Linked DNA regions of Rattus norvegicus. The main gene of each other region encodes a partner of the protein of the gene in region 2 in a complex. Links are inferred from orthologs where the notes say so. Each region holds a gene or a part of one and is shown on either strand. Other genes may lie near its edges.

Evidence for each region.
Region 1: Pfdn2 (region 2) and Pdrg1 share a complex: the UniProt entries of both Homo sapiens proteins name them as parts of the PAQosome complex. The link is inferred for Rattus norvegicus from reciprocal best matches to the Homo sapiens genes PFDN2 and PDRG1.
Region 3: Pfdn2 (region 2) and Dnaaf10 share a complex: the UniProt entries of both Homo sapiens proteins name them as parts of the PAQosome complex. The link is inferred for Rattus norvegicus from reciprocal best matches to the Homo sapiens genes PFDN2 and DNAAF10.
Region 4: Pfdn2 (region 2) and Uxt share a complex: the UniProt entries of both Homo sapiens proteins name them as parts of the PAQosome complex. The link is inferred for Rattus norvegicus from reciprocal best matches to the Homo sapiens genes PFDN2 and UXT.

The regions. Positions count from the first base shown.
Region 1 is NC_086021.1:161,939,203-161,946,979, reverse strand, and holds the start of Pdrg1 (p53 and DNA damage-regulated protein 1), read left to right. Parts: upstream 1-2,998; 5' UTR 2,999-3,031; coding exon 3,032-3,118; intron 3,119-4,277; coding exon 4,278-4,353; intron 4,354-5,698; coding exon 5,699-5,773; intron 5,774-7,711; coding exon 7,712-7,777. UniProt on the Homo sapiens protein: May play a role in chaperone-mediated protein folding.
Region 2 is NC_086031.1:86,302,302-86,310,240, reverse strand, and holds the start of Pfdn2 (prefoldin subunit 2), read right to left. Parts: upstream 4,414-7,939; 5' UTR 4,404-4,413; coding exon 4,329-4,403; intron 1-4,328. Other genes in the region: Nit1 (deaminated glutathione amidase), read left to right, coding at 4,546-4,547, 5,115-5,210, 5,607-5,864, 5,969-6,072, 6,282-6,415, 6,550-6,675, 7,350-7,613. UniProt on the Homo sapiens protein: Binds specifically to cytosolic chaperonin (c-CPN) and transfers target proteins to it. Binds to nascent polypeptide chain and promotes folding in an environment in which there are many competing pathways for nonnative proteins.
Region 3 is NC_086032.1:95,824,885-95,832,060, reverse strand, and holds part of Dnaaf10 (dynein axonemal assembly factor 10), read right to left. Parts: intron 5,854-7,176; coding exon 5,753-5,853; intron 3,428-5,752; coding exon 3,297-3,427; intron 1,791-3,296; coding exon of another isoform or gene 1,761-1,790; intron 1,218-1,760; coding exon 1,116-1,217; intron 1-1,115. UniProt on the Homo sapiens protein: Key assembly factor specifically required for the stability of axonemal dynein heavy chains in cytoplasm.
Region 4 is NC_086039.1:3,676,533-3,684,447, reverse strand, and holds the start of Uxt (protein UXT), read right to left. Parts: upstream 4,545-7,915; 5' UTR 4,539-4,544; coding exon 4,441-4,538; exon of another isoform or gene 4,396-4,440; intron 2,799-4,395; coding exon 2,717-2,798; intron 2,580-2,716; coding exon 2,512-2,579; intron 2,243-2,511; coding exon 2,135-2,242; intron 1-2,134. UniProt on the Homo sapiens protein: Involved in gene transcription regulation. Acts in concert with the corepressor URI1 to regulate androgen receptor AR-mediated transcription. Together with URI1, associates with chromatin to the NKX3-1 promoter region.

The DNA.
Region 1 (7,777 bases), on a different chromosome or scaffold from region 2:
GGTAACTTCATTCACAAAATCCATTTCAAGAAGCTAATGCTCAGAAAGGGATGTTGAGAGAGCAGAGAGAGAGAGAGAGAGAGAGAGAGAGAGAGAGAGAGAGAGAGAGAGAGAGAGAGAGATACAGAGGTGGGGACACACAGCACAGAAGAGAGAGGACGTGACCTGACAGGTGGAGACACATCATGACTGCAGTAACAAAGGAACTGGGAGAAAATCAAACCAGGCTGAGGGCCACTGTGTGCAAATGTCCTGAGGATCCTCACCGCCCCTCGGTCCAGTGACCTTCTCTTATGTGGATGGATGCAGCAGCCCCACATGAGAAGCATCAATGTCGACCCCACAGAGAAGTAAAGATGTGGGCGATGAGTCACTCATTCCTCCCTCCTTTCTAGGGCTTCATTCCATTGCCAACCTTACCTGGTACTTGCTGCTGGCCTTGCCTCAGTGAGCAGAGACAAGTCACAGGTCTGGGCAGCAGGGACTGCAGTCTGCAGGCAATGGCCAAGGAGGGCCTTGTGGGTGAGGATATGGCACTGACACCTCCTTTTCCCCAGCTATTTATATCCAGTGGCTCCTTTGCCTCTCTGGCTTCATCTCCCACCTTTCTCCCTCGCCCATTCTATTACATGTGCATTAGCCTCACTGCTGCTCACCTCAGGGTCATTGTGCCTGCTGCGTCCTCTACCTACAGTGCTACCTCACCCCATCCAGGTACCCTCATGTCTCACCCCTTACCTCCTCCACAGTTTTGTTCCAATGCCACCTCTTCGGAGAAGCCTTCTCTAACCACCTATCCCAAATGGCTCCTGTATCTCTCCCTGTCCACCTTGCATTGCTGGGGACCTGGCAACACGCATCTACGTTTGATCCAGGATGCATTTGGTTATATCCCTGTCGATGGTCCACTCCCCTGCCTCCACAGCCTAAAGGCAGGTATCACACCGGCTTTGCTCACAGTAGACTCATGAATCTCTGAGCCTGGGAAATTGCTACATTTTCATGACACGAATAGTTAGGTAATGTCAGAGATGTCCCAGAGTCCACAATCTGCTCATTTTGACTCTTGGAGATGAGTATGACCTTCCCTGCAATATCCAGTGACCAGATGTGGCCCCCGAGGGCCAGTCAGAGCCAAGAAATTTAACATGGAACCTTCCTTAACTTCTCTCCATTCAGGCCCACCCAGCAGGGGTCAGGGGTGTCAGTTTTTCCAGCCATCTTTGGCCCCAAGGTGGAGAGAGGATACAGGACTAGGGTCCAGACCCCAGGGATTCCTGGAAGACTCATTTTTCCTTTGGCAAATACCCCCACTTCCTTCACAGGGCCTGTGCCTGCGTTTCTGAACCAGAAGGTGTTTACACAAAACATCCTGGGTTTGGCGACAAATTCACCCTCTATGAGGAATCCTTAATGACGCTTCCTCCATCCCCACACCAGGCAGCTGCAGAGAAAACTGTCTCAGTCTCTAGGAATTGAAGGAAGCCCAAAGCCAGACAAGACGGAGGTGTTTCTGGGCTTCGTGAGCCACAGTTTGTCAGTGTCCGTCAACAGTTGTGAGACAGAGACCAGCACCCTCCACCCTGGGGATCTGTGCCCTTGTCCCAGCCTCAGCCTGCAGCTGTATAACTAAACAGTCGTAATCCGGTCTCTACAAAAGTGGCCATGAAATTCAAGTGAGGCCAAGAATATGAATGGGCTAAGTTACCCAGAGTCAAAAAAGGAGACTAAAAAATGGATGTCAGAGTTGAGTCTTAGGGCTGGGGAGGTGGCTTAGTGAGTGAGGAGTGTTCACTTTACACTCAGAATGAGGATCTGAGTTTGAATCCCAAACACCTACAGAAAAATCCAGACATGGTTGTGTGGGCCTGTCACTTCAGCATTGGGGAGCAAACAGCCACAGGCAGATCCAGAGAGCCCCAAGTCTAGGCTGCCTAACCCAAAAGAGCTTCCGTTTCAACGAGAGGCTCTATTTCATGACAATAAGGTGGAGAATGTCAAAGGAAGACACCTGTCACCCTGCTCTGGCCTCTGCTTGTCTCTGCAGGGGCACAGAGTACCCTTATATGCATGCACCACACACATACACTCACACAAAAGAAAACAGATGAGATATAGCTCAGGTGTAGCGCTTGAGAGGCACTGGGGTAATTCCAGTTCCACACACGGAAAAACAAGAGGATGGGTGAGGTAGCCCGCCTCTAAGCCTCCAGCTTTGCAAATGTACAGTAAGAGATTGGGGGACCCCTCTGGTTCTGTCGGGCAGTCATCACCCTCCCACCCCCACCCCCCGGAAGTCCAGGATCCTAATTCACTCTTCAGATCTTACTGACACTTCATTGCTCACCCTGGACAGTTTCCAGCTCCTTCTGTGAATCTTGGCTTGCTACTGTGGACATTAGATTCAACAAACGCTGCAACCAGATGTAATTTAAAATGATTTCTGCTTCCTTTCTGTCTTCCGTGGTGGTGGGGGCGGGGGGGGGAGACAGGAAAGACAGAGACAGAGACAGAGAGACAGAGAGAGTCAGTGCGGGGAATTTCTATACCCATTATTTACAAACTGGAAGCTGAAAGTGTCGCGGGTTAAAATATGAGTCTCTTTGCCACACTCAGTTTCTTGGCGATGTTAAACTGGACTTTATGATCTCTGTGTCTCCAAAGCCATTATCGCTACCTCCCATAATGTGTAATTATTTTGCTGTCAGTGTTTGCTGTTTTCCAATGGAATGACGTTCCTAGAGCCGGGATGCTTCTTTTGCAGCCGCCTTCCCGACACCCAACCTGGTTTATGGTGGATGCCCAGGAACCCTTTGAAGGGAGGGGAAAGGGCAGTGCGTTGGGCTGCTCGATCAGAGCCTGCAGGGGGCGCATCTTCCCTGCTCCCAAAGCCTGACCCTCCCCTCTGGAGCCCAGCTGAGGCGCATGTTCTTTTCACTGCGCAGGCTTGCCGGAAGTCCCAGAACGGCGCGTGCGCGGAAGGAGCTGGGGTGAAGTAGTAGTGCGAGTGTCGGAAGAGGTCTGTGGCACCATGGTGTCCCCCGAGGCGGATCGAGTGCTGCGGTACCTGGTCGAAGTGGAGGAGCTGGCAGAGGCAGTGCTCTCAGACAAGCGGCAGGTGAGAGACGCGGCGGCCGCGAGCGCCCTACGCAAGTGCGCGGCGTCGCAGGGTGATCACCGGGCCTCCCGGCGTCACTGCTCCTAGCGGCCTGGTGCCTAGTGAGCGCCAGTCAGTTCTGTATTGGGCAGTTGCCTTCCTTTCACCCTGCCCCGTCATTGCTGGTCCCCCGGATCCCTGACACCACTTTCCAAACGCAGTCCCAGGCCCATCTTGAATCAGGTTGTTGAGACATGGGCAGGATGTGTCTGGGCAGTACACTGATGTGCGTGTGCGTGTGCGTGGGGGGCGGCGGCTTGGTTGAAGGCTTCGTAGACCCGAAAGGGGTGCTTGGCTCTGGTTCTGTGGTAAGTAGTCCCTAAAGGGAGTTCGTCCTGGGGATGTTATCATTGAATAGTGACTGATAGATTGATCGGTTGGTTTAGACTAAACTTTAGAGGATCTCATGTATCTCAGACTTCTCGAACTCACTGTGTCGCCTAAGACAGCCTTGAACAACCCGTGGTATGTCCTTGTCAGTGTCCTGAGTTCTGGGATTACAGGTGTGCATTTAGATTTTAAAAGTCTCTCTCTGGCTCCTTCCTAGAGTGCAGCGAGCCATTTAGCTGATCCAGATGATCTGGATTTAGACAAGATGGGAATGATGGGGTGAGACATATACTTGGTGGTCTTCAGAAGCTACCATAATGACCGTAATGACTCTTCGTGATCTATATTTGAAAAGGCTTGATGGTTCACTAGCTGCAGCCCCAGAAAGTCGCCTCTTGAGCAGTTAGTTGTCATAGTGGTACGGTGCAACAGCTGCTCCAGTCCAGTATGGTTGAATGTCTGGTGAGACTGTCAGAGTTACTTAACAAGAGCTTGTCAATAGTCACTGTCTAGAGGAGACACTCAACTAACTCCCTGGTGACCCCGGTATACTCTCAAGTTTGAGTGGATGATACAAAGTGGCTCAATCTGCAAACATTTTCCCACCACCTTCTGTGGAGGAGGAAAGCTCCATACAAACAGAGGAGCTGGAAACCAAGTGGGTAAAGAAGAACGTTCACACCTGAGTCGTCCATGTCAGGCAAGACATTGGAACTTCACCAGAAACGATACCTTGTTTCTTCAGATTGGGGCAGGAGGCAGCTGAGTTCCCATCTGCTCCTGTTTTCAGATTGTAGACCTGGACACCAAGAGGAATCAGAACCGAGAGGGCCTGAGGGCCCTACAGAAAGACCCGAGTGTCTCTGGTAAGTTGTGGCATCCTTACTGAAGCCCTGGAAGCTGGTTCAGGGACTTCATTATCCCTGGTAAAGACCAGCCAGGCAGGAGGCTGGGACTGTGTGACTCACCCTCATGGGGAACTAAGACAGCTTGTGGAGAAGAGCAAGCCAGTGTTGCAGGTCAGACATATGCTGTGACTCAGAATTTAGCTGCTCACTTCAGCGACAGGCCATTAGCTCATCACTCACTGACGGCAGATACAGAGAGTGCTCACGGCACATAAAAAGCAATAGTTCTGCCCTTATGTTCCACATGAGGAAAAGCAGCATAGACACATAACTGAAAATGGTGAGAGGCCATGGGTGGGTATTGAGGCCAGGTGGCTGTGGCTGGTGGTAGCAAGCAGAGGTCTGACATGAAGCAGTTCTGGAAAGGAGGGCAGCATCCAGGCCATAGTGAAGGCTGACATGTAGGGCTTCCACTGGCTTATCTCACCTGAGTGAAACCCAGAGCTGTCCTGCAGGACTCCCCATGACCCAGCCCCACACCCCTATTAGCCCTGACTCTCCTGCTCACTCACTGGTCCCTTGGTTGTTAGCCTGGCTCTGTTTTCCCACATGTCTGTAAGTGTAGTGTCCTCCCTTTCCTCAGTTCTGTGCCTGAATGTCACATCTACATAGAAGTCTCATACCAACTTTCAACACATCAGTCCTCTGACAATTCCCAGCTCTTTAAACAGCTTTTGTTGTTGTTGTTGGGTTTTTTGTCTGTCTGTTTAATTAACTGGTCCTTTTGCCACACTCTGGGCTCTTCCACCCTTCTCCCCCAACTTTTCCACCTTTTCAACCCCCAACACTAGATAAGAGAGAAAAAAGGATGAAGAAAAGAGATCCTTGAATAAAGTCAGGGGGGTTGGAAAGGGGGCACCTAGCGTTATTACACCCTCTCAAAAGCCCTCAGAATTCCAAACATCACACACTCGAAGAAACTATCTGCAGCTGGCAAAATCATGCCAGAGCATGAGGCAAACCACAGTCAGCTGCTGTGCTCAGTCTCTCTGAGCTCCCCATATCCCACACCTGGGATTATAAGGAAGACATAATTCTTACAGGATTTCTGTGTTTGTTTATTTGTTTGTTTTTAAAGAAACAAAAATGCCAAAACTGCCACTACAGGTTTCCATGCTAGTTCTTAAGCGGTGTGTGGAAAACAGCTTCGCTCACTCCCCATCTTTTGCTATGACGTGATTTCCACGAGAGCATGAACTGTCTTGTTCTGCTATGTTCTTAGCATCTGAACAGTGCCTGTCAGATGATAGGTGCTTCAAAAGGGAAAAACAAAACATGAAGAAATGTCTGTTTGCTGTTTCAGAAGACGTGATGGTTTGCTTTGGGAACATGTTCATCAAAATGCCTCACCTTAAGACGAAGGAAATGATCCAGAAAGGTAAGGTGTCCTGAAGAGGGGTCAAGGACATGGCTACCTTCCCCCCAGTCTGAATCATAATCCAGCACTGAGAACCAAAACTGTATTAGGCTGGGGAAAGGCAAAGGGCTTCTTCCATATGGGCCTTTGCTTTCTGTTTGAAAATAAGGCCACTCTCTGCCAGAATCTCATTGGTCAAGGCCATCCGTAGCTGTGAAGGGTCATGGATAAGTGAAGTTTTGCATGAGCCTGTGTGTCTGTGTGTTTGTGGCGTGTGTCTGCCTGTGTGTGTGTGTGTGTATTGCAATGAGTATGCAGAGGTCAGAATAGGGTGTCAGGTTCCCCCTTTAGCCCGTTCCACTTTACTTCCTCCCTCAAATTAAGTGAGGTCTCCCAACCTCTTTGGCTACCTTGGCTGGTCAGCAAGCTCTCTGCATCTGCCTGTCTCTGTCCCCTAGTGCAGGGATAATAGGTACACTGAGCATGTGTGACTTTTAACATCGGTACTGGAGATGCAGGCCTCACACTTGCAGAGCAAGCACTTACTGACTGAACCATCGCCCCAGTGCCCGAGTGAGCTTTTATTTTTCATGTCCCCTGCAGCTGAGACTGTGCTGAAAGTGAAGGTGTGACTGGGTACATAGCTAGAGGTAGAGCATTTTCCTAGCCTGTGTAAAGCCCTGGGTATAATTACTGCAAGAAAATGGAGTATAGAAAGAGCAAGATTGCCTCTATAGTCTGAGCAGCTTGTGTAAGCAAAGTACTGCTCAGGTCTCAAACCGTGAACAACTGGGATCTCCTCAGAGAAGCTCTGTAAAGAGAAGCCTGGGAAAAGACAGATACACTTGTTTCTCTTTTACATCCTCAAAAACACATGGATCAAAAGGACCAGTAAGGTTGCCTTTCCTGAAGACAGGATATGTTTATACTTTTGGGAACTGGAACAAACCTGCAGAAATTTCAGCTATTAAATTACGGTAGTGTGGCTAAAATGAAGGGTTGGGTTGGAAAGGTGGCTCATTGAGTACAGTGCTCTTCTGAGACCAGGGCTCAGTTCCAATCACCACATAGTAGGTCACAACTGGTGTGACTTCAATTCCAGGGGATCCAACACCTTTTTCTGACCTCTTGGCACCAGGCATGGCATAGTGCACAAACATATATGCAGGCAAAACACACAGACACATAATAATACATGTAAAGAATTATTTTAAAATTAAGGGTCAATGTGCTTGGGTAATGGGCAAAGACTGTACAGCTAAAAACTTAGGGGTCACTGCCTGAGTTCAGGATTCGGTGTTGTGTCCTGCTGACCCACAGATGTTGTCTAATCTCTTATCTATGAGGGTTCTAGTTTTCTCCCAAATCAATATAGACTGAACAAGTTCATAAACAGTTTCTTATTTATAATCAAGAAATCAATTACCAAAGCTGTGAGGCATGGCTAGTCAGGGCCTTTCTTCTTTAGGAAGTGGGAGCAGACAGGCAGCGGATAGCCAGTAGAATGTCCCTCATAGCATAGTTGGCTGATAAGCTTTGAAGGGTGCCTGTGTCTTTGTGCCAGCACTCCTCAGTGAAGTCTATGCTGATGCTAGGCTGGTCCTTGTATCCACCATGGCCGACTAGGTTATGCTGGAGCAGCAGGCTCTCCCATTGGCTACTTGGGCCACATTTTCACAGGTCCTTGATGGAACTTGGGTTTGTAAAGTTTCTCAGCCATCCAGCAGCCAGCCACCCAGCATTCTTTGAATAACTGAGTGGCAGGCCTTGTTCTGGGCCAGCTCAGGGACTTGGGCAGGTAGTGTCACTCCTAGAGTTTAGCCCTGCCTCTGCTGGTCTCTCAGGTCACCTTTTCCTTCCTGTGCGCTACAAGCCTTGGCTCTTAAGGGCATTAGGTGGAAACTTGGGTCCCTCTATGTAACAAAACTCTGTCCTGTCTGCCTGTCGAATTTTTTACAGATCAGGAGCACCTGGATAAAGAAATAGAAAGGCTGCGGAGCCAACTGAAAGTGAAAGTTAACCGCC
Region 2 (7,939 bases):
TCAAGTACAGCTTGTACTGCAGCTGGAGAAAGCATTACTAGCAGTAACCTGTGGTAGTATCTATGCCTCGTGGTGCTAATTCTGGAGGCATGCAGAATGCAAGAGCTGTGGAGAAATGGCTTCCTCTACCAAAACTTCACAAGATGCACTGGACTGTGGGAGGTTAAACAGGGGTGCAAGGAAAACCCTGATGTAGGAATGGGAGCTGTCGGGGAATCCTCACTGGAACAAGCCCTAGGCCAGGCAGCCACCATGATCTCTAATAGTACAGCAACTGTCAGTGGACAGTGCCTAACCGGGCAAGCTGCAGGCACTGGTATGCCCCCAGCCCAAGTGCATGAAGCATGGACTGTGCCCTGTGGAGCTGTCTAGTATTTTAGAGGCCCAATTCCTGCCCCAGAGTTTCCAAATGCCATATATAGGGATAATTTATCATAGAACGGTAAGACCATGCCTGCCCTCTCGGAATTCAGACTTAAGGCTTTAACAGTAAAGCCTCCTCCTGGCTTTACTTCTCTCCTTTAGAACGGGAATGTCTACCCTCTGCCTGCCTCTGCATTACATGATGAACGTGCATATGCTACTCTCATTGCACAGGCTCACAACTGACCCTGGAATTTTGAGTTAGTACTGGAACAATGTAAGACTCTGGGGACTACTGGGACAGAATGATTGTATTTTACATTATAAGGTCATGAGTTTGGAGGGTAAGGGGTATAAAGCAGTGTTTGAGTAGGCTCTGTCCTCTTCGAAACACCTGTTGAACTTTGACAAGTGACAGGAATTTTCTTGTCTTTTTGAGATTCACACTGGCCTCAAATATGCTATTTAGTTGAGGATGAACTTGAACTCCTTTTTTCTTTTTTTTTTTTTTTTTTTTTTTTTTTCCCGGAGCTGGGGACTGAACCCAGGGCCTTGCGGTTGCTAGGCAAGCGCTCTACCACTGAGCTAAATCCCCAACCCCGAACTTGAACTCCTAATCCTGCCTCTCTACCTCTCCCCCAAATACAGGGGATCTCTTACAGGCGTGTACATCACAATCTACTTTGCAGCAGGGCTTTTCAGTTGTTTAGTTCATTATTATATGTGTGTACATAATGTTTATGTGTCTCGATTTGGGGGAGCTAAAGAGATGGCTCAGCAGCACTTGTGGCTCTGCACCTACATGGAAACCCATAACTATCACTGTCTCTAACTCCAGAGGATCCAATGCTCTGACCCCCACAGTCCAAGGTCACCAGGCACGCATGTGGGTGGCTGGCTGGCACATGCGCACACATGCACACGCACACATGCACGCGCACACGCGCACATGCACGCGCACACGCGCGCGCACTCACTCCTCCAAGTGCTGTGGTACACCTGGGAGATCAAAGCAGGAAGAATGCCACAAGCCCTAGACTAGCATGGTCTACATAGCAAGTTCCAGGCTAGCCAGGGCTACAGAGGGAGATCCTCTCTCAGATAAAACAGCAGCAAACCAATAAACAATAAATAGAAATAGGATAAACCGAAAATAAAACAAGGGCCTAGTAGAAAGTATGACCTGCTCCTATCTTCCTTGTGAAAGTCACATCAGGCTTGAATTTGTATCAGTGACAAACACTTAAATTGGGAAGAAAAGTTCCACAGGTAAAGAACCAAAGAACCAGAGTTTGAGAACTTGGGGGGTGGGGGAGGTATGGTATTGAGGCATGAACTGCCTGGCAATGGAATGCTAGGGAACTTAAATTCTGAGGCTTGTTATCCAAGTGCTGGGGAAGAGAGGGTCAATGGACTCTCTGGCCAGCCATCCTAGCCTGGCTGGTGAGTTCTAGGCCACATGAAAAAAACTTGTGTCAAAGAACAACAAGGCTGACTGTGTCTTCTTCAAGTCTTGCAATACAGCTCTTTTAAATCTTCCAGCATTTCCAAGGCCGGGCAGTTCATGGCTCAAGGCTTATGAACACATTTCTTCTAACGAAAAAAAAAAATCCTCACATTGACTAACTTTCCTCAGCCTTTAGAATTAAGCTGAAGAATCCTCTAGAAAATAAAAACAAATTAGCATTTAGAAAGATTGTTCAGATCATGTGCATGTATGTATGTGTTTGTGTGAGATGAGGTGCTCAAGTGCAGAAGCCATCTCTCCACCCCTAACTAGCATTTAGTCAACACACTCTGTAGTCTCTGTTTTTTAGTCATGGTGATGGGGGGGGAGGGTGTCGAATGAATTTTCTTGCCTAGTACACTAAATAGTTATGAAATGGGAAGTACATGTTTTCACAGATAGAGGAGGGTAAAAAGTAAGAAGAGAAATCATGTGCAGAAGTTTTTGGTGTAAGGACTGGAGCAATGGCTCGGTGGAAGAACTGTTACTTCTATAGCAGAAGGCCTGGGTTTGGTTCTCAAGACCCACATGGTAGCTAATAAGCAGTTATCAGGGGCTTGGACCCCTCTTCTGGCCTCCAATGGCTCCTGCACAGGTGTGGTACATGCACACACTCAGACATGCAAATATACATAACATATTTTTGAAGTCTCGTTGTTTCATTTTTATTTGCCATTCTGTCTGTCTTGTTTGTTTTTGAGATTGTGTTTCACTCTGTAACCTAGGCTAGCCTGGAACTGAGAGGGTAACCCATTGGGATTATGGGTATGAGCCATCACACTTGGCTGTGTCCAAATTTAAGATAAAGTCTATTTCACTTACCTGTTTCTCTGTGTTAAGCAAAGTATAACACAAGACAGACTCTCAAAAGCTTTACTTTTTTTCTTTCCCACTGTCAAGGTGCCTCTTCCATCCCCAGAATGTCACTTCTCTTTGAATACTTACTTTCCGACTCATAGTAGAACTGTAAACCCCACTTCAACAGACGATGCTCTCCAACAGTATGGGTTTTAAACTATTTCTGCTGATACTTTTTTTTAAAGATGTATTTATTTATTATATATAAGTACACTGTAGCTATCCTCAGACACACCAGAAGGCATCAGATCTCATTACAGATGGTTGGGAGTCACCATGTGGTTTCTGGGATTTGAACCCAGGACCCATGGAAGAGCAGTCAGTGCTCTTAACGGCTGAGCCACCACTCCAGTCCCTATGCTGATACTTTTACCTGCAGTGATTGCTCAACAAGCAACTGACAAATATATGATTAAAATAGCTCTTCAATCCCAACCCTGGACCTCCATACCAGGTGAGAACAGACACCCACCCAGACCCCACACCTCAAGGCTTTCCCATTTAACCCACCAAACTACACCCCTAGCTTCAACTATTTTCATTTCGATTGTGTGTTCTTCTTCTTCTTTTTTTTTTTTTTTTTTGGTTCTTTTTTTCGGAGCTGGGGACCGAACCCAGGGCCTTGCGCTTCCTAGGCAAGCGCTCTACCACTGAGCTAAACTAAATCCCCAACCCCAATTGTGTGTTCTTCTAATATCAATTAAACACTAGTCCCAAGACTAACAAAACATGGTCCCTATACCACAAAGGGCTTTCTGATTAATTCGTCAGATGTATCCCGATGTTATGAAGAGCAGAATCACACCTGCATTAGAAAATGGTTTCTAGCCTCTTCTGAAAACTTAAGTCTCTGCAGAAGGGAGCATAGAGAGTGAGCTGGACCATGTCTCAAAAAACGAAAACAACCCGAGCCAGGAATAGTAGTCCCAGATAATCCCAGTATTTGGGAGGCAGAAACAAGCGAATCTCTGTGAGTTCCAGGCCAGCTTGGTCTACATAGTGAATTCCAGAAAAGCAAGGCTACATAGAGCGACCCAGCCCGACCCTATAGCAACCCTCATCCCCACCCCAAGACAAAACAAAAACAAAACAAAACAAGAAAATAACTAAGCCACAGTCTCCTTAGTCCAAATAGTTACTGAACACTAAACTGGTCAGAGTCTGAGTCACGTGGCTCTGCAGCGTGTTTGTGATGGTGAACACGGTTTTGGAGTCAAAGACTAAATAACCCACTCACTGACTAAGAACAGCCTGGGATTCGTTACTAGATGACACTTCAAACACCATATTCTCTTTAGGGTACCTCGTAGAGGGGGAGACGACGATCCATGTCCTTAGGGACCTGGACAACCCTCCCAGATCCTGCATCTAAGAGCTTTCTCTCTCGACTACCCACCCACACCCCGGGCGTGCCTCTCACCTACCTACCCCACCTACTCACGCCCTAGAAAGGATTGTGATCACCCCCAAAAACGCCCTCTCCCCTGTGCGTGACCACGGAGAACGTGGGAAGGACTAAAGGCCCCTCTGAATCACAAGTCCTTTTCCTTGCACGAACTCGACACCGACCCAGGTGCCTTCTACGCTCGCGGTTCCTCACCTGTTCCGCCGACACCGCCCCCTTCCCCGTGCCACTCCCGCCGCTCTTGCCCACACGACCGCTGCTGTCCGCCATCTTCCCCACCTGCAAGCTTTCCGGCCTGCGCACTCCCACTGCGTCACATCCGCTCTAGTGGTTACCGCCCACTTGCTCCTGCGCTTCTGGCTTCTGGCAGCTCTTCAGATCCGACCCTGCGAATGGTTTTGGCTGTGTCTTCATGTAGGACCTACTCCCCAACCCTGCCTGCTGCGGTGAATTCCACCTGCTATGCTTTAACTTGTGCAACAGAGATTCTTGCCCCGGGGAGAGCCGGGGAAGGACGCGCTAATCAGAGGGCGGGGGCTCGGGTTGGGATCTGATCTTGTACCCATCTACCTACCCACCACGAGAATGGTGGAGATCTAAGGAGGGTGAACTTTCCTTCTGAGATTCTGGTACAAGGGGAAAGATACATGTTGAGTCTATAAAGCTGTCCAGGTGGCACAGCCGAGAAGAGAGAATTGGGGAAACGAGGAAGGTTCCATGAGATGACTTGAACTGCGGAAACGTTTGGCAGAGGAAAAGGGCTTCAGTTTTAATGTGAGATCACTGGAAGTTGAGGTATTAAGGCACCGATCATAGTGTCCTCTTCCATTTTCCCATTTTATGATCTCATAACTACTAGTAGTAAAGTGTTTTCGAAGCCTTGGGGGAGGGGATTACTGGCCAGGTCTGGAAATGGCAGAGAATTCTAGAAACTTACAGCTTGAAGGAGGGTTAGGTGTCCTGATTTTTCACCTTCTTCAGGCTGGGCTTCATCACCAGGCCTCCTCATCAACTCCTGTCCCTTCTGTGTACCGGATACCGATTACCTCAAATCTCAGTACTTTGTACTCAGCCCAGGTAACATATTTTATGTTCTTTGTCTAGCACGTAGTTGCTAAGTCCATGTTTATTAACCGAATAGTGGACCTGCCATCCACCAAACATTTAATGCGTGTACTCCAGTAGCTTAGGGTTATTTAATGCTCTGGAAGAATGAAAACAAGTCGCTAGGGTTGGTGGGACACACCTCTAATCCCAGCACTCGGGAAACAGGCAGGAGGATCAACTAGGAGTTTAAGATCATCCCCGCTACATAGAAAGGTCTGCCTGGGCTACAAAAAGACCCGGTCTCAAAGGGGAGGTAAAATCAGAAAAAAAAAAAGTAAGTTTCCGGCTCCACCCCCACTTGAGCCTCCCAAGTTTCTCCGCGGCACGCGGTAGAAATCCTGAGAAAACTGCCTGTGTCATTCACAGGCCCAGAGCCATGGCAGAGTCCTCATCGACTTCCTGGGAGCTGCCCCTGGTGGCTGTGTGCCAGGTAACATCAACACCAAACAAGCAAGAGAACTTTAAAACGTGTGCTGAGCTGGTTCAAGAGGCTACCAGACTGGGCGCTTGCCTGGCCTTTCTGCCTGAGGCATTTGACTTTATTGCACGAAATCCTGCCGAGACATTACTCCTGTCCGAACCACTGGATGGGGACCTTTTGGGACAATATAGCCAGCTTGCCAGGTACAAGGGTAGGGTGGGGGTGGGGAGGGGTAGAATCCCTGTTGGGCAGTGTTCCTGGATTGCCACATAGAGGGGGTAGAGTTGTCAGTGTCCCTCCCCCTCAGGGAATGTGGAATCTGGCTGTCCTTGGGTGGTTTCCACGAGCGTGGCCAAGACTGGGAGCAGACTCAGAAAATCTACAATTGTCATGTGCTTCTGAACAGCAAGGGTGAGACTTCACAGTCCTTCAGCTTGCCTCTTCCTAGGCTCATCTACCTTCTTCCAACTCAGATCTTCAGCATTTTTCTCAACTGCTTGGCTTTAGGGGTTTTTTTGTTTTGTTTTGAATGCTTCTGTTCTTAGCCTAAAAATTACTCTTTGGGAGAAGAGCTAAGCTGGACTTCCAGTGTCTGTACTGAGCATTTTCTCTTACTTTAGGATCAGTAGTGGCCAGTTACAGGAAGACACATCTATGTGATGTAGAGATCCCAGGTCAGGGGCCTATGAGAGAAAGCAACTATACCATGCCTGGATACGCTCTTGAACCACCTGTCAAGACACCAGCAGGCAAGGTAGGAGTTTGAAAAGAAAATAGGAATATGTTGAAAAAGTTGTAACATCTCCCTTTGGTGTAGGATGATGGAGGTAGTATTCAATGTTACGTTGACCAGGACAGGGAAGATGAGTGGGTTGTTTCTCGTTTCAGGTTGGTCTAGCAATCTGTTATGACATGCGGTTCCCTGAACTTTCTCTGAAATTGGCTCAAGCTGGGGCAGAAATACTTACTTATCCTTCAGCCTTTGGATCTGTTACCGGCCCAGCCCACTGGGAGGTAGGAGAATGCCTCTTCATAACATATAGGCCTCCTTTAATCTTATTTTTAGTAGTGGGGACAGAGTAGCACAAACCTAAACTCTAAGCACTTCAGGGGATAGCCACAGGTTCAAAGCCAGCATAGTGATGCCTCGAGTAAAACAGAAAACAAAATAGAAGCTGGGCAGTGGGGGTGCACACCTTTAATCCCAGCCCTCAGGAGGCAGAAGCAAGTGGATCTGAGTTCAAGACCAGCCTGGTCTACAGAGTAGGTTCCAGGACAGCCAGGGCTACACAGAGAAACCGTCTCAAAACAAAACAAAACAAAACAAAACAAAAGTAACCCACACCACCCAAAATAGTGGTGCATGGTGGTGTGTGCTTTTTATCTCCGCACTGTAAGGCAGAGGCCGGCAGATCTCTGTGGGTCCAGGCCAACCAAGGTTATACAAGGAGACCTTATATAAAAAAATACAAAACACAAACACACCCCTCCCCTTCTACTTGAAGGATTTTCTTCCCTTCCGATCTGGTGAGGAAATTCGTTTCTTAGATAGGTGTGAGTCATGTTATAGTTAGTTACTAATTCTAGTTGATCAATAGTCAATGAGTAGATTGGGCCCACAGTGTCCGCTTCTTGTCACTCGCCTATTAAATGCTGTATGTTCCTGAGTACGCACGTCTCATCCTCAGGTGCTGCTGCGGGCCCGCGCCATTGAGTCTCAGTGCTACGTGATAGCAGCAGCACAGTGTGGACGCCACCATGAGACAAGAGCAAGTTACGGCCACAGCATGGTGGTTGACCCCTGGGGCACAGTGGTGGCCAGCTGTTCCGAGGGACCAGGCCTTTGCCTTGCTCGAATTGATCTCCACTTTCTGCAACAGATGCGCCAACACTTGCCTGTGTTCCAGCATCGCAGACCTGACCTTTATGGCAGTCTCCTGCCACTCTCCTAATGTTTTTAATTTCTGTTGGTTGAGACAGACAAACACACGCCAACTGTGAGGTGATGCTACCGTGACTTGTAGGCTGGACCCAAGCACGGTTCCCTTCACTTGCAGGACTTAACTCTCCTAATGGAACACAGGCTCAATCAAGTCCATGGGAAAGAAGAGACTTTGACCTGATCTCAGATTTCAGTTTCAGAAAAATGAAATTTTATATAGTCACTGTTTATTTCATGAAAACTGAAGTTGTGCTGAGGGCTGAGCAGCACTGGCATTGAAAAAAAATATAATAATCAATCATAATGTCTGGACATCTCTTTTGGGGCTGGGAAGGG
Region 3 (7,176 bases), on a different chromosome or scaffold from region 2:
CCTATTTCTGAGACAAAAATCCTCTGAATCCTTGTTCTGAGATCAAAACGATCTCCCTCCCTGTCTGCCTCTGTGTCTGTCTGCGTGACTGACGCCTCTTGCCATGGTGTATCACTTATGTTTTACACTGTAAGGAAAGCAGACGTCAGCTCTTCCTCACTGAACCATATGCTTCAGGTCTCAACGACAACCCAGTTTCACTGCTGCATATTCACGCTAAAGTAATTAAAAAAAAAAAAAAATCTAAAGTCGGGCATGGAGGTGCACGGCTGCAGTTCCAGGGCCTCGGGAGGCTGACGCAGGAGTATTACTTGAACTAGAAGTTTGAGGCCAGCCTGAGCAACGCAGTGAACTCTTGTCTCAAAACAACAAAACAATCACAAAAGCCAGGTCGTGGTGGCACATGCCATATCCCAGCCCTTGAAAGGCAGAGGCAGGAAGATCTCTGACAGTTTGGAGCCAGCCTTATCAAAAAGCAAACACAGGTTTAAATCTAAATACGGAGCAGCACGCAGCAGTACATGCTTGGGAAGGCGGCTAGCCTGGGCTCCGGCCTGCAGCGTTTACAATCAAAGACAAGCAGCAACACTGACAAGGTCAGAATGCACTATGAGTATATTAACACAGGTCACAGTTATCAGACTTATATGAAATAATCGTGCAATGGCACAACTATTTTCTAGAAAAGAAACACTGCAAAATGCAGTGTGAGGGGTTTTTTTTTTTTTAGGTTATCACTTTGAGGCTTAGCTCTATTAATGGAATTTGGTACTAAACTAGGCCAATATTACCAATTAAACAGAAAAATATTATAATAATAGTAAATACTTTCAACACTCCGTAATCCATGCCCACTCTAGGAGCTTTAGTGACTTACTTCATTGGCTTTTCAACGCTATTAGCCATGCTGTACATAGCCATGCTGTACGTACAGTAACTTCCCCCGGCCACACAGTAACTAGCACGGTGAAGACGCAAACCCTGGCCTGAGATTGCCTAAGACCATGATGCCGGCCTAGACAAACCTCAGGAGTCTACAGAGCGGCTACCGGAGACTGCCTGTCATTTCCTGAGCCACGATGAACCTGAAACGAGGTTTCTTGTTGACAACTTACCAAATGCCACAGTCCAGCAGTCTCTCTTGTTTTCTCCTTGTGCGGGTTCCATGTTAGCGACAGGATCCTCTTTTTGCCTCGGGTCCCACACCTTTACAGTTCCTGTCATGGATAAAAGGGAGTGGGCAAAATTCAATGGTGACTGATCGATCATATTTCCTGTTTATGTTCTCTTTCTACAGTTATCTGTACACGTGACAATAATTGTTACAACATCTGAAAACTGTTCAGAGTGGTTAAGTTGTCCTTGATACCAGACATAACCCCATGTTAGTATTAGAATTGATTCCTAAACTAATAGCTATACAGAGAAAACCCAAAAAGTATTCCTAGGTTATCTGTAAGTGATGATAGGCACATCAAATATAAGTGCACAATTCAAAACATGCCTTATTGTCTGGGTTAGCACCAAATACATACAAACACATTTAGAATAGTGAGAGTATCATTTTAACTTTACTTTTCTTACTACACATAGAACCATTGGTTCTTTTCTTATACAGAAGAATAAGCGCTGTCAACACACTTTTGTATGGGGTTTTAAAATGCCATTCCATTGTAGGGAGGCAGCTCATGGCAGAGTGACCAGCATGCACGAGGTCCAGTTTCACTTGTTGACCCAGAAGAAGAAACAATCAATCGCACCTCTTTCAGATGTGATCGAGCTCAACTTTCCTGCATAAGTTAACGAGGAGGAAACTATCAATAAAATTAACTTAAATCAATTCATACTATAGGATTACTAACTAGATTACTAGTGTCACAGCCTACAGTCAACATGATTGCATGTAATGAGGTGGCTAAAAGGCCTACATCTGAGCAAGAGTAGGGAAGGGAAAAAATATCCCCAAAAGAGACCAGGGATAGAGCTGGTCATCAGAAAGGCTGCAATCTCTGTGGAGGGACTCCCACAAATCTGACAGCGATTACCATCTCAGCTGTGGGGTTATACAAGTCACTAAGATCTTAGTAAGTTTCCCACACTTGACATAGCAAAGAACGTAAAGACAATTCAAAACGCAGAATTAATCAACGCTCAGGCACTGACACTAGCGTACATGGAAACGGAGGACAGTTTCTAATCTACGACCTTACAGGAGGAAAGAGCAATGTTAGCCACTCGTAGTCTCTTGTCCACTACAGCTGGCCAGGGAAATGGGTACTATGGTTTATTTAGAAATACATTTTATGGGGTTGGGGATTTAGCTCAGTGGTAGAGCGCTTGCCTAGGAAGCGCAAGGCCCTGGGTTCGGTCCCCAGCTCCGAAAAAAAAAGAACCAAAAAAAAAAAAAAAAAAGAAATACATTTTATAAGTCATAAAATATCCCCAAGGACTTACATATTCAACTACAACCACTTCTTCAAAGCTTCAAGCCACTGTCCTAAGACTACCCAGAAAACATGGAGCACACTGATTGGGTATTACAGAAGCATAGTTTAGCATGCTGTTATAGCCACACGATGGCATGTTACAGCCATTAAAGTAAGAGTTATGGAAGCAGAAGCGTCTGCATCTGCGAACTGTAAGGTACGATGGAGAAGCACAGCGCTGTGGCGGCATGATGGACTGCCTGCCATCTTCCCTTGTGTTTCACATGGCTCCTGTGAAATGGTAATTCTAACACACCTCTGCTCTCCAGAAACTACTAGAAGATTATATTTTGTTTTTCTTTTACGGTAACCTTTTAAAAGCAACTAATATATCTCCATGTGAGACAACAAAGCCCAGGTCCATGTAGTCATCCAGACCTGGTCTGTTGGTCCCTAAGGCCAGTGCTGGGAACTCAGACACATCCCAGAATACGTCTTCAGGTACCTGTCAACCTGACATCGTGCTAAGGACTAACTCTGCTTTTTAGAAAGAGTATGAGAAGCCGCCACACACATCACATCACTGGCTGCTTCAGAAACCTGTGAAGACATTGTAAGCCATTCAAATCAGCTCATGCCTAGGTGTTGAACTAAGTCCACACTAACCTATTCAGCGCTGGGTTTCCATCTGAAAATACACAGAAGCCTGCAAGGAACTGGGGACGCACAGTGAAACCTGTCCCTTAAAATGCAGATGCACAAACGGCAGCTACACAGTCAGACCAACAAGACGATTCCACGGCAGAGCGTATGGCAATGCACAAAGGTGCCCGCCCACTACACCTTTGTTCAGTACTTAAGCTGACTCACCATCTCGGCTGCCCGTCACGATTTCCGGGGCTCCTTCCCCAATTCCAAGTCCACCTATACCATCTATGGTATTTATGATTTCTTTGTGCCCCTTTACAGAATACACCGGAATCTCTGGAGCTTCCAAATTCCTAAGCAAAAAAACACAACTACTTATCACATGCCCTAAAAACCAATTCAAAGTAAAATAAATAAAAAAACCCCAGACAATTCAAGCTGGAGGAAGACTTTAACGTAAGAGAGAGGCTCTGAAAAAGCTTGAGGAGAACACAAGTAAAACACTTGGTGATAGGAGCTCAGTGAGGAGTCTCGGAAACAGACTCAACAGCACCGGAAATGGGCCCATCAAGGCATGAGTGGTTAAGGTTAACACAATGAGAGGTTATCCAGCCATGAAGAAAAATGGAACAAGGATATTTGTAAGAAGGGGGCCAGTTGTTATGTTAAGCAAATAAGCCAGAATTGGGAAAACAAATGCCATGTTTCCTCTTATGCATAGAAAATAAATTTAAAACTGTACACACATACACATGTGTATATATATGTGTGTATATAGGTCAAGCCTGACGACCTGCACTGACTTCCAGATCATACAAGGTGTGAAGTGAAAACAGTCCCATAAGTCATCTTCCACACATGCACACACAGAGACACAGATACAGACACACAGACAGAAGGACATTTGCTCTCTACTAGTGCATGTGCATTTACAGAGAGACACTGACACTCAGACAGAAGGACATTTGTTCTCCACTAGGGCATGTACATGAACACACACAGACACAGATACAGACACACAGAAGGACACACACACACACACACACACACTAAATAAAATGTGAAAATAATTTAAACAACAAAAACAACAAAACAAAACTTAAATAGGGTCAGAGGGAGTGGGCAATGGAACAAACACAGTAAGGATGTATTTAGTCTGAGTGTGGGGATACCTTTAACCTTAGCACTCAGGAGGGCGAGACAGACAGATCTCCGTGAGTTACAGGACAGCCTGATCTACACTGTGAGCTCCAGGGCGGCCAGGGCCATGTAGAGAGACCCTGTCTCAAAACAGACAGACAGACAGACAGACAGACAAACGTGGCTCTATCCGGCAGGAAGAGAACCGCAATCAGGCAGCAGGCACACAAGTACAAGCAGAAGTAGAGGGAAACGAGTATGACCAAAGCATATCGATACATACATATGCATATATACATATACAGTTAAAATAATGAACATCTACTAGTCTGTATGATAAGCCCCCAAAACAATGAAAAATAAATAAAATACAGAAAGTAAGACACTGGCCTCTCCTTCCATTTTTCTGAAGCTCTATGACAAAGTATGTAAAATGATGAATAAATATGAACTTAATAGCAGGAGTCAGAAGAAGGAAAATTGCACTAGCTTTTAGAGCAAGGAGTTACACTAGCTTCACTTTTATGTTACGTTTCTAAAATCAGGTAGATGTGAACACGGTTTAACTATGAAGCAGTACAATACAAATGACAACCAAAACGGGTTGCCACAAGCCCTAGGCTGGCACCCTCCTCCAGTTTCATCCTGAGTTCTAAGCTGGCCTGGTCTACATAGTAATACACAGTGCGTCCCAGTCCAGCCAGTGGTACATGGGAACCCTGTCACCAAAACAAACAGCTCATAGGTGAAATGAGCAGCTAAGAAAGAAACAAAGAAAGAGAGCTGCTGTATACTTTAAATGCAGAAAATAGATTTTTCCACAAAGTAATTAAAGAGAAATTTGAATTCATTTAACTTTAAATATTAAGAAACAATTCTAAGTAAGATTTATATAAAGGCAACGGACAATTCTGTGATTTTGTTCAAAGCAGGCTTTTACTGAGTTGTTCAATAGACATTTTCCTAGAAGTCGTGTCTAGATCATAAAGTATTAAATACTAACCAAAACTTTAACTGGGAGTTCTGCATGGAAAAAATTAAAATCAGTGCATCGCTCTAAAAAGTCAAAACTCTTACTAAAATGGCATTAATTAATTGCCAGTCCCAAATACCCTGTGGGCAGGTAAGAACCGGTAACACTGTTTCAAGTTCTAAACCAAAGAGCTCGGCATCTTTCTAAACCTCTGACCTTTACCTTTTGAGGTCATAGTATAATTATATCATCCCCCCACCAAGCCCTCCCACAGATCCCTCCTTTCTCTTCCACATTGGGCCTGTTTGTTCACTGCTATTACATGCATATACATACACAAACATATAACGTTATACATACATATTCCTGAATGTAATATGAAGGTGAGGATTTTAGGTAAACATTGAATGTGACATAGAGGAATAACGCAGTCCTCATGGCTTCAGTTTTGGAAGGAATTAAAATATCTGAAGTAAGTATTTTAAAGTTAGAACTCTCTTTCAGAAGACTAAAAGCCTATCGAACAGAGTACTTATCCCACTGGAGTACTGTTTAACGATCTCACCAGATATGAAGATTCCCATCAAAATCTCCAGTAGCCAAGAATCTCTGCTGCAAAGATGCGGCCCCAAATGTCCCACATTTAATGGGCTTAGCCTTTTCAATCTGGACAGAAAGGAGAGAGGACACTTTACTTATGTAAACACTTATTTATAACCACAACACTGACAGCTTTGCTGTGGGGGTTATAAACGCATTATACATAAAAGCAATAAAACGTTTTCTACAGACATTATACTCTTTCTTTAGTTAATTTTGTATAATTTAAAAAGCATATCATTGTCAAAAGATAGGTTTTTGTTTCAAGACAGGGTCTTTCATAAAACCTTGGTTGTCCTTAAACTCTGAGCTCTTAGGTCCCTGTGTAAGTAGGGTTTATTTATTTTTACTTCATGTGTATGGGTGTTTTGCTGTCATGTAGGTGTATGCAGTGCCCACATAATCTAGAAGAGAGCATTGGATTGGAGCCCCTGGAACTGGTGGTGGCCATGTGTGCTGGGAATCAAACCCAGGCTTTCTGGACAGCAGTCAGGGACCTCGGATCTCACTCTCCAGTTTCTGAGACAAGGTTTCTCATTTTGTTGCCTAAATCAGACATGATTCCAACTGGTCTAAAACCCAGAGATCATAGGATTACGGGAGTGGGAGACAGAAGGAGAGAAAGGTGGAAAGGGAAGAAGAGAGACAGAGAAAGAATCATCTTCTGAAGCACCCAAATGCTGCCTCCTTAACCCCGTGTGGTGGCTCACCCCTGTAGCCAGCACTTCAGGTACAGAAGCAGAAGGGCAGCTGTGAGTTCCAGGTCAGGCAAGGCTACACGGTGAAGTTCAGGCCACACTAGGCTACAAAGAGGTTTTTAATCTTCCCTCTCATAATCCTGAAAGGGCTTGCATTTCTGCTGGTGTGTAGGTAAAAGAGGTGCTACCTCGCAGCAGAAATGCAATCACAATGGAGACATTGTTTTCTGAAGGCACAGGAACAAAGATGTCCAGGAGCCTCTCGTAGTCCTGTCTATAGAACCTGGTAGGTAGGCAGTCAATGCTCTCTGACTGAGGGCATAAGGAGGCCTCCCTTAGCCCTTCAGCACCAGTTCTTGGGACAGACAGCAAAGCCAGCAGCACAGCACTCTCCCCACTCCGCCCTTTTCATCCCCTGGATTTTACCTGCTGTGCCTCCAATGGTGTTTGGTGCCATTTGCAAAAGATTATGCAAACTGTTTACATATACTGAGCACGTGATAACATGCAGCATCGTTCCACAGGATTTTCCAGATGTGTGTGTGGGGGGTGGGTGGGAGGGGAAGCACATCCGTGCAGAAGTCAGAAGCGGACTTCAGGTATCCTCTATCACTCTCTCCGCTATTCCTCTGAGACAGGGTTTCTCAGTGTCTCTGTCTTCCACAGTGCACGAGTCAGAGGTGAGCAGAAG
Region 4 (7,915 bases), on a different chromosome or scaffold from region 2:
TATACTGTTCCCTGCTCTCTCATACTCATTTTTTCTAAGCTATGCCACGTGACAATTTTCAAGCATGCCAGATACATTGTCCCTTTTGTCAAGAACATTCTTCCCCAGTTAGCCCATGGCTTGTTCACCCAATAAACTGACTCAAATGTCACTCATCTGAGAGTGGGAGTTGAGGTCTTCTATGTGGCCTTCACTACCTACTTATTTTATGCGTATGGATTTTTTGCCTGCATGTATGTTTGTATAGCACTTGTGTTTGGTGCTCAGAGGCCAGGAGAGGGAGTCAGCTCTCCTGGCACTGGAATTACACAAGGTTGAGAACTGCTATGCAGGCTCTGGAAATAGAACCTGGGTCTCCTGTAATGAGTAATAAATGTTCTTCACTGCTGAGCCATCTCTTTAGTTATAGCACTATCTATATTTCAAGCTTCTCATCCAAACCAGTTCTTCCCTATATAAAACCAAAAGTAACCTGGAGCCCACACTTTTTCTCCTCACCATTACCCACATAGATAAGTTTGATCATCCTTTCAATTTGCTTCTAGCATAATTCACTCAACAGAAACTGTGCTTTACATTATTTTAGTTATCTATAGTATAAACTTTTTCCTTTAAATGCCTATAACCTGGGCTAGGGACACACAGTTCAGTAATAGAACTCTTGCTTACTAGACCGGAGACCTTGGCTACAAGTCTCAACCCTGTAAAGAAATGTAATACTTATTATCTAATTGTAAAAGACAATGAGCATGAGAAAGAAATTTCACAGTAAATTTTAAGAGGTAATAAGATTATAGAAAGAGAGAAAAACTAGGATATGGCTGGTGCAATGGCTCAGTGGGTAAGGGTGCTTGTCATATAAGCCTGGGGATCTGAGTTCTATTCATGGAATCCCTGGAAGGAGAACATCAACTCGCAAAACTGTGCTGTAATCTACACATGCATGCTACAACACAATGCCCACAGTCATGCAATATACACACTAATGGTAATTTTTTTAAAGTAGAAGAGGGGCAATTTAAGAACACTAGGAGTTGCAATTTTGAAGTTAGGTCACAGAAGAACTTGTTAGGGAGCTTGTTATTTATGCAAGACAACTAAGTGTCGAAAAAAGAAACTACACAGTAGCTACTGAATGCTCTTAAAGGTGGGAAATACTTAAAGCATGTGTTAGGGCTGGGGAGATGGCTCAGTGGACAAGAACATTTGCTGCTCAAGCATAAGAACTGGAGTTGGATTCCTAGTACCTATGTAAAAACTCACACACCTCTGACCCCAGCACTGGTGCTTGCTGAAGCCAGAAAATTGTAAACTCTAGGTTTGGGGTTGAAGTCAAAAAATGGCAAACTTTAGGTTTGGTGGAGACCCTGTTTCAAAAGAAATAAATAATAAATAAATAAGGCAGACAGCAATAGAGGAAGGCATTATCTCTGCATGTGTGGGTACATGCATATTAAGTTCAGAGGGCAAATGAGCCGAAAAATTAACAGATAGTTAAGTGAGAAGCAGCTTCTTTGACTGGTACTGATTCTTAGATTAAAATCTCATGGATGTGGACCTAGATATATGTACATATAACAACATAGTTCTAGAATGTAAGCCTCTAAGAATCTTCTGTTTTGTTTACTGCTGTATTCCCAATACTAACAACACAACCTGGCATACACAAGATGCTCAATAAATGTGTGAAGGAATAGTACAAAAACTACTTATTAAGTGTTTAGTATGACTCCGTGGCTGAACTTTGCATCCTCATTTTTTTTAGCTCTAGCCCTGAAGAGGAAGGTAGTATGTTTTTTTTTTTTAAAGTACCATCCCAGGTAGCTACGGGGAAAAGGGTAGAGTATTGAAATTTATGATGTCTATTTATTATTTTTTTCTGTTGTTTTATATAGAGGGATTTGTTTTATCACCCAGAGTGGCTTCAAAATCAGGATCCTCCTGCTTGATCTTCTAGAGTCGTAGGATTACAGGTATGAACTACTGCCGTATCTGACTTTTATATATTTTGTGTATGTGTTTGTGTGGTGTGTGATACGGATAGAACCTAGGGCTTCACACATGCTAAGCAAATGTTCTTACCACTTCCCTGCACCCTTAGCCTTTAGATACTATCCTCCTGGAATGAACTCACTCTGTGAGGAGGGAACTCTTTCGGTCAATGAACTTGAGAGCTTCGGCCAGTGTCAGTTCCAGGAAAAAACCGTATCCCAGGGCCACATAGATGCGTGAAGTATCTGGGCTGAGGAAAGAGGTCGGAGGAAGTGGAAGAAGTCTTTATTACCATTTAGCATACTGTATATAGTTTAAGGTGTTTCCTATTCCTTCCTATTCCCCAAGTGAAGGCTCTGTAAGGGCAGATATTTTGTGTTCATTTCTCCCACGACCACAACATGTTGCTTATATCTTAATGTAATATAAAAGCTACTAAAGCCTGGTATACAGAAAATACTAAGAAATACTTGTTCCATGAAAAAAGGGAGAAATTTAGAGGGGAGAGAATACACTCACACCATTGTGTCAACGAAGAAGTTACAGCCCAAATCCACCTGCATATATAACTCCGAGTGATTAGTTTCCTATAGGGCCAGGAGAAAAGAGGTAGGTGTCAGTGGCCAACTTTTAAGGCAGATAAAGGTTTTGTTCTGGGGGTTCTCTTCCCGCCTCCCTTCTTTGTACATATACACAAAGTGGCACCCAATTTAAAAGCCTTTACCTGGAGTCGCTCAATGACATTTCTTAGTTGAAGGTATACAGACAGCTGCTCATATACCTTGTCTCGATGGTCCAGTACCTTTCTGATACGTAGAAATACAACAGTGAATATTAGGCAGTCTTACTCCTTTTGAGATGCAGCACATCATGCCCTACTAGGCATTTTAAGCCAGATGGGGTTGTTCATGGATGCAATCCATGGGCTGAGGCAGGAGGATTATGAGCTCAAGACCAGCTTGTGTAACATAGTGAGACCCTGTGCCTGCTCCCCCAAACACTCATGATGGGGCATAGATAAGGACACAGCCGGCATTTCAATAAATATAGGTGAGACTGTACTTCATCCTGACCTCTACCTCTTGCTAGTAATGTGACTATGGAAAGTAGGAAACCTGTTTGGGATTAAGTTTCCCCACATAGAAAATAGAGATGGTAGTATTAGCATATAGGAGTCATTAGAATCAAGTGTCTACTACAAAGTGTTTTAAATGCTAGCCAAATGGTAAGCATTATATACTTAGAACCTATTACAATGATAAATATTGCATTTTACTCAGTGACTTATGCCAATTAAAATGTCCCATCTTCACCCTAAATATACCTCCCCGTTTCTTTTAGCATGATTACACAGCCCTAGTTCTCAATACCTAACTTTTTATTCAGATTAGTAATGACAGCAATAGTAATCATCTAGTTGTTGAGCTTTTAGTGTATTTCAGGCACTGGAGGCAAATTCCTTTTTCATAAAAGTTATCCAGGTTATTTCCAGAGACAATATCTGAGTTTCTCACGCTGGTATTGAATTTGTAATCACACCAAACAATCCTCTCCTCTCAGCCTCAATATAATAGTAGTTGGGTTTATCTGCATTAAACATGTGTTTATTTTGTGTGCATGTATAGGTGCCATGATACACCTGGAAGCTTTTTGGGAATCTTTTTCCTTCCATCATGTGGCTCCTAGAGATCTACGTTAGGGCATGGTGTTGGAGGCAAGCCATCTTGCTGGCCCTAATTTGCTTGTTTTGAGACATAATATCAGAGCCCAGGCCATACACAACCTCGAAATGTAAGTGAAGGTTACCCTGAACTCTGGATTATCCTGCTTCTGATACCATCCCAAGTACAGGGATTGCAGGCCTCTGTCACCACACTAGTTTTTTTTTTTTAAATAAAATATTGTTATATATTTCAAGGCTGGCTTGTAATCCTGGCTAAAAACGTGAATTTCCCCATCTCTCCACTAGAGATGGCACACACCATGGAGCCTGAGCCTGGCTTTATTCTACTTTTCCCCCTTTGAGACAGTCTGTAGCCCAGTTTGGTCTCCAGCTTACAAAGATCCTCTTGCTTCTCCCTCCTGTGGCAGAATGTGTTGGAGTTGACACATTTAAAACTCAAACACCACGTTAAAAAGGCCTAATAAACTTTTCCATTTCACAGATGAACGAAGTTCATAAAGCCTAGAGAGGCAAAGTAAGGTACAACTTGTTCATAAATATTAATTAAATGGCTTAGTTAGAAACACATTAGGTTCGGAATGACTATTTTAAACCAACAAACATGGTCGGAGCTCTGCTAAAGGGATAAGTTCCAACCAAATCTCAGCCCAGAAGTCAACCTTCTTCCCAGAAATCTGGTTGGCCAACCCGAAAGTTTGGCCGCATTCAATCCCACCCACCACGTCGAATTTCTCAAACGTCACGCCTCCCGCGTTGCCACTCACTGCAAGTCTCGCTGCAGTACGTCACTGATAAAGGCCTCATACCGCAGCACTTTCTCCCCCACCGTATCCAAGGCCCGCCGTTTCGGGGGCGTCGCCATTATGTGCTCCTGGGGATTGAAGGGGGAGGACCCACGTTGAGCGCTCCAGTTTAACTTCACAAAGTTCTCATATTGTGCACGACTTCTTTCGACTCGTGCTATGGAGTTCCTTCTGCCCAACCCTACTTTAGGACTAGTTCACTCACCGATACGCAACCGCGACGTTCACCTAGGGGCCACCAGCAATAACTGTTATAACGAACCGCGGCTTCCGGCTGGCGCGGATGGATGACGCATTTCCAGCACCAGAGCCAACCATAATCGATGGGGCGGGGCTGCCCTTCGTGCGAGAAGACGCATTTAAGGGAAGAGCTGCAGGCGGGGCCTGAATGAGTCCCTGGAGGTAGCAGGGTCACGCTGTTGGCCTGCAGGCAAATAAATAGTCGCGAGCTGGCGGGAGACTGGTTTGGGTGACGTTTAATGAGTTTTGGCGGGTTCTGAGGAAAGGTGGACTTACAGGAAGGTAGGGAGAGGGAGTTAAGTGTTTATAATTTCTTTGAAGTGTGTGTGAGAGCAGTTGTGAGCTACCGTGATGTGGGTGCTGATAATGGAGTTCACATTCTCTGCAAGAGTTGTGTGTTCTTAACTGATGAACCATTTCTGTATTCCTCCCTCCCCACTCTTAAATTCCTTCCTATTTTATGTGTTTTGTTTGCATGTTTATGCACCACATGTGTGCAGTGCCCACAAAGGGTAGAAGAAGTTGTGGGATTCCCTGGAATTGGAACTACTGGCAGTTTGTGTGCACCATGTGGATGCTGGGATCGAATGGCCAATGCTCTTAACTACTGAGGTATCCATATAGTCCCTACTTTTTTCTTTTAGAAACATTTCTAGTCTTTGAGAATTTCATAGATGTATGCAATATATTTTCATTATCTCCACTCCCTATTCCCTCCAACTCGTCCTAGACCCTTCCTACCACATTCCCCTTCCAATTTCATATTCTCTTTAAAACAAAAGACCAAATCAAAACCAAACAAACAAAAACCTCACTGAGACCACTTAAGCATTTAATAATTTAAAAAGCACAAGAGTGCCTATAGACCAGCAAGTATTATGGTACTAATCTATAAGGAAGGCAGGATATCTTGTGGCTCGCGCTCTCTCTCTCTCTCTCTCTCTCTCTCTCTCTCTCTCTCTCTCTCTCTCTCTCTGTGTGTGTGTGTGTGTGTATTACACACATAGTTTGGTTTTCACCCTCCAAAGGGCACATAAAAATGTTTAAACAGAGACAAATTTTAAGAAAATCATCTTAAATGAATTTCTGCTTGATACCTTGTCCCCCAAACCAAAACCAAAACCAAAATTTCGTGCTACATATATTTAAAATTCAATTTGGTGTGCTTAAAACAGGTATTAGGGAGCTATAAAATATTAGTTAATCTTTATTAAGGAGAACAGTTTGGATGGACTAGCGTTGAGTCTGTGTTAAGTCTATTAACTTGTATTTCGTGTATTTTTTTTTTACTTAAAAGATTCTTTTAGGTTATCAAAATGACTTACTGGTTAAAAGGTTCAGGCTAGCAAGTCTTGACAGCCTGAGTTCAATCTGTGGGGTGGCTTGTAGATTACTGCTGTTCCCTGACATAGAGAAAGCACACTTCTTTCTTACAATGGGAGGTAGTTACTATAGAACATTCATAACTTGTCGAACTGCAAGGAATGTTTCTGTTGCTGTGGTATAGCTGCTCAAGGTGGTAGAAAAGAATAATCACTTATATTATTCTAAGTCTTGGAGAACACTGTAGAAGATGGGATGGAAAGAATGTGAAAGCTGCAGAAAGGGAGCGTTGTCTCACTTCTTACACTGTGTTGGGCATAACCATTGCTGTTTTGAATAAGAGCAGATGTGATCACTTTATGAGATCAGGCCTATTAACAGTTCCTCATGGAAGTAGAAGGGAGGCTTATGTGGCTCGTGCTTTCAAAATCCACATGAAACCCTCATGAGACTCAGGATCCAGCCTATTAATATATTCTTTGTTAAGAGAGTAGAGAGGTTTGTGAGGTCATAGGGTCAAAGACCTTCCTTTCCTCAAGGGAAAGAAGTGGACTGGGGTGGAAATTTTTGGTAGTATAGCTTCCCCTACGTATTTTTTTTTTTTTTTGGCAACTGAGGTGGCATAGCTTCATCTGAGTCAGCCATGCTATAAATGAGACTCTCCAGTGCTCCAGCTTTTTGTGAGTTGTCCATGCTGCAGGTGGGATTAGTCAGCGGGATAGCTGCCTATGAGTTGCTCTGGATTTCTCAGTTGTGTAACACTTTGTGTCACCCATGCGCCAACAAATAATCACAATAAATTAATTTTTATTCACCAAACTGCACTCAGACAGGATCCTGTTGGCCTATTGGTACCCTCTCATCTGGAGTAAAATGTTATTTCCTGGAAGAAACTGATATGAGATACTCTCGTCTCTCTCTCTCTCTCTCTCTCTCTCTCTCTCTCTCTCTCTCTCTCTAGCTAGTGTGAATGGGGTTGATTTCATGATTTCTATTTCAGCAAATTCATTATTGGTATATAGAAAACAATCCACTAATTTTTGAATATTGATTTTACTTTTCTGCTACTTTGGTGAAATTTTTGTCAGTTCTAATAGTCATTTAGTGGAGTCTCTAGGTCTTTCTGCTTATAGATAATGAGGCAAATTATCTTTTAGGCATAGATGATAGATGGTTCGTCTTCCTGGGTCTTTTGTGTGGAGATTTTTATCTAGTCAGGAATTGATCTGGGTTTGGTATTTTTTTTTTTTGCTATAGGCAACCTTAGTTTTAGATTTTCCTGGTGGTATATAGTTTTTATCTTTCTACTTGGCTTTGGACTCTCCCTTTGTTCCTATTTACAGACACAATTTCTCTTCTTCTCCCACCATATTTCAGTTTCTTTTGATTGGTAGTGAAGTGGTCGTGTTTGTAGTGAGGGTCATCTTTGGTATTCTGATTAAGCTCTGTCTTTGACAGGCGCTGTGTATCAGTGTTGAGGATAAAAGGTAAAGCTTGATACTGCCCATTCTTCCTTTTATCTACTTGTAGTAAAATCTATCCAGTGTTTGCAGATGTCGGTTTTGGCTCATTTTTCCATGGAGACTAAATCTTTTCTATAAGAAGTGAATCTGGATAGATTTCATAGTGATCTCCTTAGCCAGAACCTTGAAAAGAGAAGACTTTCTTTTGACTTTTATATTGTAGGGTTCCTAGAGGTAAAACCTGTAAAACCTTTGAAATGTCCAATGTCTGCAGTTCCTAAGAACTTCATGATGTCATGCTAACCTACACTTGTTCTTGGCAATGTACTAAAGGTTCTAGTGTACACTCTCCAGTAGCTTATATGACTGATATTCAGCACATATCTAACCCAGGTAAGCAGATGCTCAGG